2 linked regions of the Caenorhabditis elegans genome follow. The protein of the gene in region 1 purifies or fractionates together with the protein of each later gene. This does not show direct contact. Each region holds a gene or a part of one and is shown in the gene's direction. Other genes may lie near its edges. The genes, in order: rha-1 and ddx-17.

Evidence for each region.
Region 2: the proteins of rha-1 (region 1) and ddx-17 fractionate together in Caenorhabditis elegans (co-fractionation; one large-scale study listed by BioGRID). This does not show direct contact.

The regions. Positions count from the first base shown.
Region 1 is NC_003280.10:8,881,919-8,885,844, reverse strand, and holds the start of rha-1 (ATP-dependent RNA helicase A), read left to right. Parts: upstream 1-2,185; coding exon 2,186-2,356; intron 2,357-2,399; coding exon 2,400-2,830; intron 2,831-2,887; coding exon 2,888-2,934; intron 2,935-2,985; coding exon 2,986-3,122; intron 3,123-3,174; coding exon 3,175-3,435; intron 3,436-3,483; coding exon 3,484-3,926. Other genes in the region: ddx-19 (RNA helicase), read right to left, coding at 1-377, 457-567, 614-665, 872-937; T07D4.5 (P53 and DNA damage-regulated protein 1), read left to right, coding at 1,516-1,707, 1,753-1,887, 1,933-2,034.
Region 2 is NC_003283.11:14,010,041-14,013,966, reverse strand, and holds the start of ddx-17 (RNA helicase), read left to right. Parts: upstream 1-2,025; 5' UTR 2,026-2,150; coding exon 2,151-2,167; intron 2,168-2,217; coding exon 2,218-3,115; intron 3,116-3,161; coding exon 3,162-3,507; intron 3,508-3,552; coding exon 3,553-3,612; intron 3,613-3,765; exon of another isoform or gene 3,766-3,926. Other genes in the region: aip-1 (AN1-type domain-containing protein), read right to left, coding at 527-628, 680-737, 785-1,005, 1,063-1,137, 1,185-1,279, 1,331-1,388.

The DNA.
Region 1 (3,926 bases):
TCCACCAACAGACGGAGCAACGCTCGATGATTGTGTTTTTGCACCGAATGCTCCACCTTGAGAGATTGATGCTCCAAAACGTCCTCCAGTGGATGTCTTTGGTGTAGAATCTTCAAGATTCGTAGAAGTTTGCGGAATCGATCCACTCAGCGTTCTCGGGGCTAAAACTCCAAAACGTCCTCCTTCATGGTTATTCTTAATTATTGCTGGTGGACAAGGTGCCATGCTGCGGTTAGTGCCAAAGCCTCCACCACGTTTACATGCAGGTTTTTCTTTGTGAATTCCAACAGAAATTATATTACCTCCTCCAATGAGTTCTTCTGCTGAACCAAGTGGTGCACCACGGCCATCCACCCCTGCTTGGCCTCCGAATGAACCTAAAATTGCGATAGGGAAGTTAATAGGAACAAAAGGATAAATGGACACAGTACAAGCATAACAGATATAAACACTTACCACCAACACGGGTTCCCGAAGTTGATCCGAATGAAGTTTGAGGTGGTGGAGCATTACTGGCTTTTGGTCCGCCGAACATGCCTCCTCGGCTAATTCCCCATCCATTTGATCCTGTAAAAATAACTGTTAGGAAAGAAGTTTCTCCGATGAATCTTACCTTTATTCTCTTCATTTTGATCCATTTCCGAGCCTGATTGCACCTTTTCGGTCTGAAAGAAATTAATATATTCCGTTCCGCTGAAAAAATGCACTCGGTTTCCACGCACACATACAGGGAAGAAGCATGAAAATTGTGCGAGGTAGAAGCAAAAAGCAATTGTACAGTGCAAGAGAAAAGAGCCGAAACTCTCGGAACACGGACGGACAAACAGACAAACAATCACGAACACACATAGACATTAACAAATCCGACCACCTTTTCTGGCACTTCAAGCCCTTCCGATCGACACTGCTCGTCGAATGCAATACCCCAATCAGCCATTTTCGATCTGTTATGAGAACTACGATAATTCATTGTTAGTATTCAGGACAAATTAAAGATCGGAACACGAAATTGAAAAGAAAACATGTTGAGGCGAAATTTGGGTCGACACATGAACCCGAGAAGGGAGAGATTGCAGAAAGAAGATAGTTCTTTGGTTCATCGACAGGGTAGGAAATAGTTATTCTAGAAGTGTTTTCTCTATTTTGCCATTGATAATGCATGTAAACACATTGTTTGGTCAGGGAAGTACAAAATCTATCTTCTTTTTAGGGCATTTTTCCACAAAATATATGAAATTTAACTTTAAAATGTATTTTAAACATTTGAAGTTATAAAAATGACGCACACATGAAAGATAAATAGAATAAACAAACAAAAAATTAGGATCGACGCCAATAAAAACATCTGAAATTGAGATGAGCAATTTCGAAAATGGGTACGGTTGACAGTACACCGTACACAGTAATGCACACAATGCACCAGATCATACGACAAACATATCTTAATATTTAAATTTAGGATTTTTAACTTGCAAGTATCATGATATTCTTGCTAATTGTTATTTTTTAAAGAAAATGATCACTCACCTGTCTACTGGAATGGCTTTGAACAACGCAAAAACACCGCATGACCATCAAAAAGAGTTACGCGACAAAACTTCAGAGATAATTTACCTTTCAACGAAATTAAATCACGCCAAAGAAACATGTGTGAATCTGGATAATGAACGTCAGAAGTTTCGAGAAGTTAGCCGAAAAATCAAAGAGGTTTGTCTGTAAAACAATAATGCAAACTGAATAACTTATTTTCAGAAGGATATTGATCCAGTTTGGATATACAATGGAACGTGCTTCCTTCAAACAAGCCAAGCAAATAGTTTGAATATTTTGGAGAAAGATACGAAAACTGTCGAAGAAGTTCGTGGACAGATTCAAGAAGTTATCAAGGTAAAATAAAAATATTAATTCGATAATTGAATTGTTTTTTTACAGAAAGACATGGACACATTTCTCAAACTACACAAGAAGCGAAATCTAGAAGAACGTGGTTTCGGTTTAAAGCCATTGCTCAAAGACGGAAAATTAACTGATTAAATTATGAAATATCTGAATACGGGTCAATGAATTGATATTAAAATACTTAAATTTGTATTGTTATCCTGTTCTTGTATATCCGAGTTTAATTTCTCGTCTCTTTATTTGAACTATTCGCGACTTTTTAAATCTTGTTAAATATTATTTTTAGATGTCCAGAGACGTCAAAGAATTTCTATATGCTTGGTTAGGAAAGAATAAGTATGGAAATCCGACGTACGATACAAAAAGTGAAACCAGGAGTGGTAGGCAGAGATTCAAATGCGAACTTCGGATCACAGGATTTGGCTACACTGCTTTCGGAAATTCCACAAACAAAAAGGTTCGTGCTACTTGGGAAATCAGTTTTTATCAAAAGTTTTCAGGATGCTGCTACCAATGCTGCTCAAGATTTCTGCCAATACCTAGTCAGAGAAGGAAAAATGCAACAGAGTGATATTCCGACTCTAACGTCTTCGAGTCTTGAAGCTTCTTCCACGTGGCAAGATTCTGAAACTGCTACAATGTTTTGTGGTGGAGAAGATGGCAACTCGTTCCAAGAGTCACAGCAACCAATTCCACAAAAAAGATTTCCTTGGAGTAACAATGCATATCAACGTAACGAGGGCACACATGAACAATATATTACACAGAAAGCAGAAGAAATTGCTGCATCGGAAACTGTTGATCTAAAATCAGAAATTCATGGAGGATGGACGATGGAGAATTCAAAGAAAGCGCTGAATGAGTTTCTTCAAAAAATGAGACTTCCACAGGTTAACTATGGAACCAAAATTCGAGAATCAAACACCGTTAAGTAAGTTTTTCATATTAGAAGAATTACTTCATTTTTTTCATACCAAAATATTTACAGAACAATGGAGACGACTGCCCAAATCTTTGTTCCTCAAATCAACAAAAGTGCGTTCTTTTATCGTCTTTTATCCAAATAAAAAATGAAAATGTTTACAGATCTCGTTGGAAAAGGTACTGGATCTAACAAGAAAGTTTCTGAAGCGGCGTGTGCAATGAATATCGTTCGTCAGATGTTCCATCTCAATATTATGCAATCGTACAGTGGACCAATCAAGAAGAGTAAAGTCAGCACGGTTAGTTTTTCTGAGTTTAAGTTGTTTTGAAGTTTATTATATTAATTTTCAGCTTCCTGAAATTGCGATTTCCATTCCAGAAGATCTCTCAACTCGAGTGACAGAATATGTTCGGTCGTGCGGTCTTGAGTTGCCAGAAATCAACGAAACGAGTGCAACTCCGGAAGCTCCTACCTCACTGCTCACGGATGTTAAACTAGCGCAGTTCCCTGTTTCAGAAATTTGTTCCGCTTCGAATATCTCCTGGGCACCTCCTCTTCAGAATTGGAATCCATGGAGAGCTTCGAATATCGATGAGGAACCATTAGCTTTTGTAAGTTTTTTGATTCAAGCGAATAATTTAAAATTAAATTAAATTCAGATGTCAATGGAGCAAATTAGTCAGAGAATAATGGAAAAAGAGGATTTCAAGCGAGGTGAAGCACTTGACAAAATAACAGCTCAACGTGGAGAACTCCCTGTCGCCCAGTATCGTGAAAACATTGTACAAACCGTCGCAGAAAATCGTGTTACACTGATCAAAGGAGAAACTGGATGTGGAAAGAGTACTCAAGTTGCTCAATTTCTACTGGAAAGTTTTTTGGAAAATTCTAATGGAGCATCTTTCAATGCAGTCGTCTCTCAACCTCGTCGTATTTCTGCAATTTCACTGGCCGAACGTGTCGCCAACGAGCGAGGAGAAGAAGTTGGAGAAACATGCGGATATAATGTTCGATTCGATAGTGCAACTCCTCGGCCATATGGATCTATCATGTTTTGTACTGTTGGAGTCTTGCTGCGAATGATGGAGAACGGATTACGAGG
Region 2 (3,926 bases), on another chromosome or scaffold:
GAAATCTGCGTCAAATTACCGCTATTCCCGTAGATCTACGAAGATCAAACCGATATGGGACACTCTGACACCACGTGGGATATACTGTAGAAACTGCAAAAATTAATTGGCGACAGTACTATTTAAAGGAACACACGCCTTTGCGCGAAATATTTTTTGTTCGCGTCGAGACCTACACAGTGAGTCTCACCTTTGAGCCAAAAGATGCATTTCTCAAAATTAGGTAAAAAATGTTTGAAAAGTCCAAATTTCGTTTCAGTCAAAAGTTTGCAAAACTCTTATTTTACTTTGTGAACCCCAGAACACCCATTAACAACAGTTCAAAGCAGGTGAACAATTTCATATATCAAGAAAAAAGAAAAAGTATTCAACATTGTACAAAGAATCAATATTTTAGTAGGACTGAAGTTGGCGAAGTGAAATGAATAAAAGTTTTGACACGGATATGAACTAGAACAAGGTTGAAGAGAAATGCAAATTGTACAGAAAATATGAGAAGGGAAATAAATATACACTAAATTGGATGCTATGAGACGGTGCAGTTGGAATTGGAATTTCTTGTTTGATGCGGCGGTGCAACTCGATTGTATTCTTCTTGTTGTAGAGAACGAGCCAGAGCTTCATCTCCCTGGAAACATTTGTGATTTAGTTAGTTGTTTTTTTGAAAATAGATACAAACCTCTGTTCTTGCTTGTGCGGAACATGGATTCATTCGGGAACGCGCGATTGATGTGATTCTGGAAAAATACCTTGAAATTCGATTTATTCAAAACAATAAACTTACGAATCCGTCCAGCTCTTTTTCTGATTTATCTTCATTTCGCCAACTTTTCGCTCACAACTGTGATCCCGCTCGTGTCTGTGAGAAAGGCAGTAGTTGTTTCGACATTTTGAGCAATTCATGGCTACCAGCTCTTTCTTCTTGCATTTTGGGACGGTACACGCGTTTGAATATACTTTTGCACGTTTCGGAGTCTGACAATTGTTCTGAATGTGCTCATTGACCTGAAAAAGAAACAATTTTTATCAATATTTTTGCAGGAATAATTTCAAAATAATTACTTGTTGATCAACATTGACATCTTTCGGCGTTGGAACTGGCTTCTCACATATAGGACAAATAGGAACTTGAACGGACTGAAATTTAATAATTTTAATCTAAAAAAAGATTTTCAAACACTTACAATTCTTGAGCCAGTCGGACAATTATGAGCCTCAAATGTGAAGTGCTCTGAGCAGTAGAAATGTCCACAACCGGAGCATTTGATTGGAAGAAAATCTGAAATAATTATTTTTTTATTTAATTAATTTTTTTTAAATGTTGACTTACCAAGTCTGTTGCAAACTGTGCTCTCACAGTGCTTTCCGAGATTTGGGAACTCCGCCATAGCTGAATAAAGCAAACGATATTGATAGGAAACGAGAGAATATAGACTTTTAAACACAAGAAATGATGACAATTGGAAAAATTCTAGAATTTACCAGAAATGCCAGACATCGGGTTACGAAATTATTGATTTTTATATATTATTGAAAGCTTTTGGACTTTTTAGAACGAGAAAAAATTGAATAATTCAATTTCAAGATTTTTGAAATCAATATCAGCTGATTCGCTAGAAAACGTGACGCTTTCAGTATTTCGTGACGTCACTGCGTACAGCTGGATTAAAGGCGCATGACATTAAACGTGCGGTGGGTCTCACAGCGAAACCGCTTTGCACCTCCTTCTCCCGCTTTTTTTGATTTTCGTCTCTCGCATTTGTCCCAAAACCTTTCATCTTTTTCTGTTTTTTCTTTCTAAATTCGATTTTTCGAACGATTTAAAAGTTGTTTTTCCCATTATTTTTCCCCCTTCTTGCACGGTGTGACGCAAAATACTCACTTGGTTATTTTGGCCCCACTTGTGTTTTATAGGGTAAAACAACCGAATTTCGTCGAAAATTTGGGTCTCTTCAATCCGTCCGTTCTCGTTTGCTACTCGTTTTCTCAGCGCTGCGAATCAATTTAAAACTTGTAATTCGTCAGCGCGTGCTTCTGTATCAAAGGAAGACGAGCCAAACGAGAGGTCTACTAATCGAAGTCGATATTTATTTTCGCAGCAGCCGTTGCACGACCAGAAGTTCGCATTTCAAACTCATATAAAAAAGACAATGGGAGACAGAGGATAGTAAGTTGACTTATCGATTATTGACGTGCATAATTGTTTTTCTTTTTCAGCGGAGGTTCTAGAAGCTATGGAGGAAGCAGCGGTGGTGGATCCCGCGGAGGATATGGAGGTGGAGGCCGTGGTGGCGGCGGCGGAGGATACAGCGGTGGTCGTGGTGGTGGATATGGAGGAGGTGGCGGTGGAGGCTACGGAGGAGGTGGTTATGGCGGCGGTGGCCGTGGAGGAGGTCGTGGAGGATCCAATGGTTCAGCTGGAGGACGCCTTCGCGATGTCGACTGGTCTGCCGAGAACCTTACTCCGATTGAGAAGGATTTCTATCACGAGAATGCAGCCGTATCCCGCCGTGAGCAGTATGAGATTGATCAATGGGTATCAGCAAATCAAGTTACTCTCGAAGGCCGTGGTGTCCCACGCCCGGTTTTCGAATTCAACGAGGCACCATTGCCAGGACAGATTCACGAGCTTTTGTACGGAAAGTTCCAGAAACCAACAGTTATTCAGTCAATCTCCTGGCCGATTGCCATGAGCGGACGTGATATTATCTCTATCGCCAAAACTGGTTCCGGAAAAACACTTGCCTTCATGCTCCCAGCTCTCGTCCACATCACAAAACAGGCTCACCGTCAACGCGGAGAAGGACCAGCCGTTCTTGTTTTGCTTCCAACTCGTGAATTGGCTCAACAAGTTCAAGAAGTATCAATCGATTTCTGCCACTCGTTAGGACTCAAGATGACCTGTCTCTTCGGAGGAGCATCCAAAGGACCACAAGCTCGTGATCTCGAGCGTGGAGTTGATATCGTTGTTGCCACTCCGGGACGTCTTCTCGATTTCCTTGATAACGGAACTACCAACATGAAGAAGTGCTCTTACTTGGTTCTTGATGAAGCCGATCGTATGCTTGATATGGGTTTCGAACCACAAATCAAGAAAATCATCGGACAGATTCGCGTAAGTTGAATCTGTTGTAATTGTGTTTTAATATATATTTTTTCAGCCAGACAGACAAACACTCATGTTCTCCGCCACATGGCCAAAGGAAGTTCGTGCGTTGGCTTCAGATTTCCAGAAAGACGCTGCTTTCCTCAACGTCGGATCCCTTGAGCTCGCTGCCAATCACAACATCACACAAGTCGTCGATATTCTCGAAGAACATGCAAAGCAAGCCAAACTCATGGAGCTCCTCAATCATATCATGAATCAAAAGGAATGCAAAACCATTATTTTTGTTGAGACAAAGCGGAAAGCCGATGAATTGACTCGTGCTATGCGTCGCGATGGATGGCCAACTCTCTGTATTCACGGTGACAAAAACCAAGGAGAAAGAGACTGGGTTCTTCAAGGTTAGTTAAAGTTACCAATTATTTTGTTATAAATACATTTTTCAGAATTCAAAGCAGGAAAAACACCAATCATGTTGGCCACCGATGTTGCCGCGCGTGGATTGGGTTAGTTTGTCGCGCCAACCTAGAAAGGGTCAAATTTTAGATGTCACATATTAGAAAAGTCGGTTTCAGGAGTTTCTGGCTTCCAGTTTTCTTGACAATCGTTACAATAGCATGGTATTCAGCCATATTTGTGATTTATTTGACCCTTTACAGTTACACCAACTTGATTTGGCCGAGAGGATTGATCGAAATGCAATGCAGTTGATTTTGGCAGCGTCTTGTGACGTTATCATATCATACGTTGCAGATGTGTAGTGGCAGAGAGTACCTTCTGGTGCTCTGTGAATGAAATCTACACATCGAGTCGAAGAAAG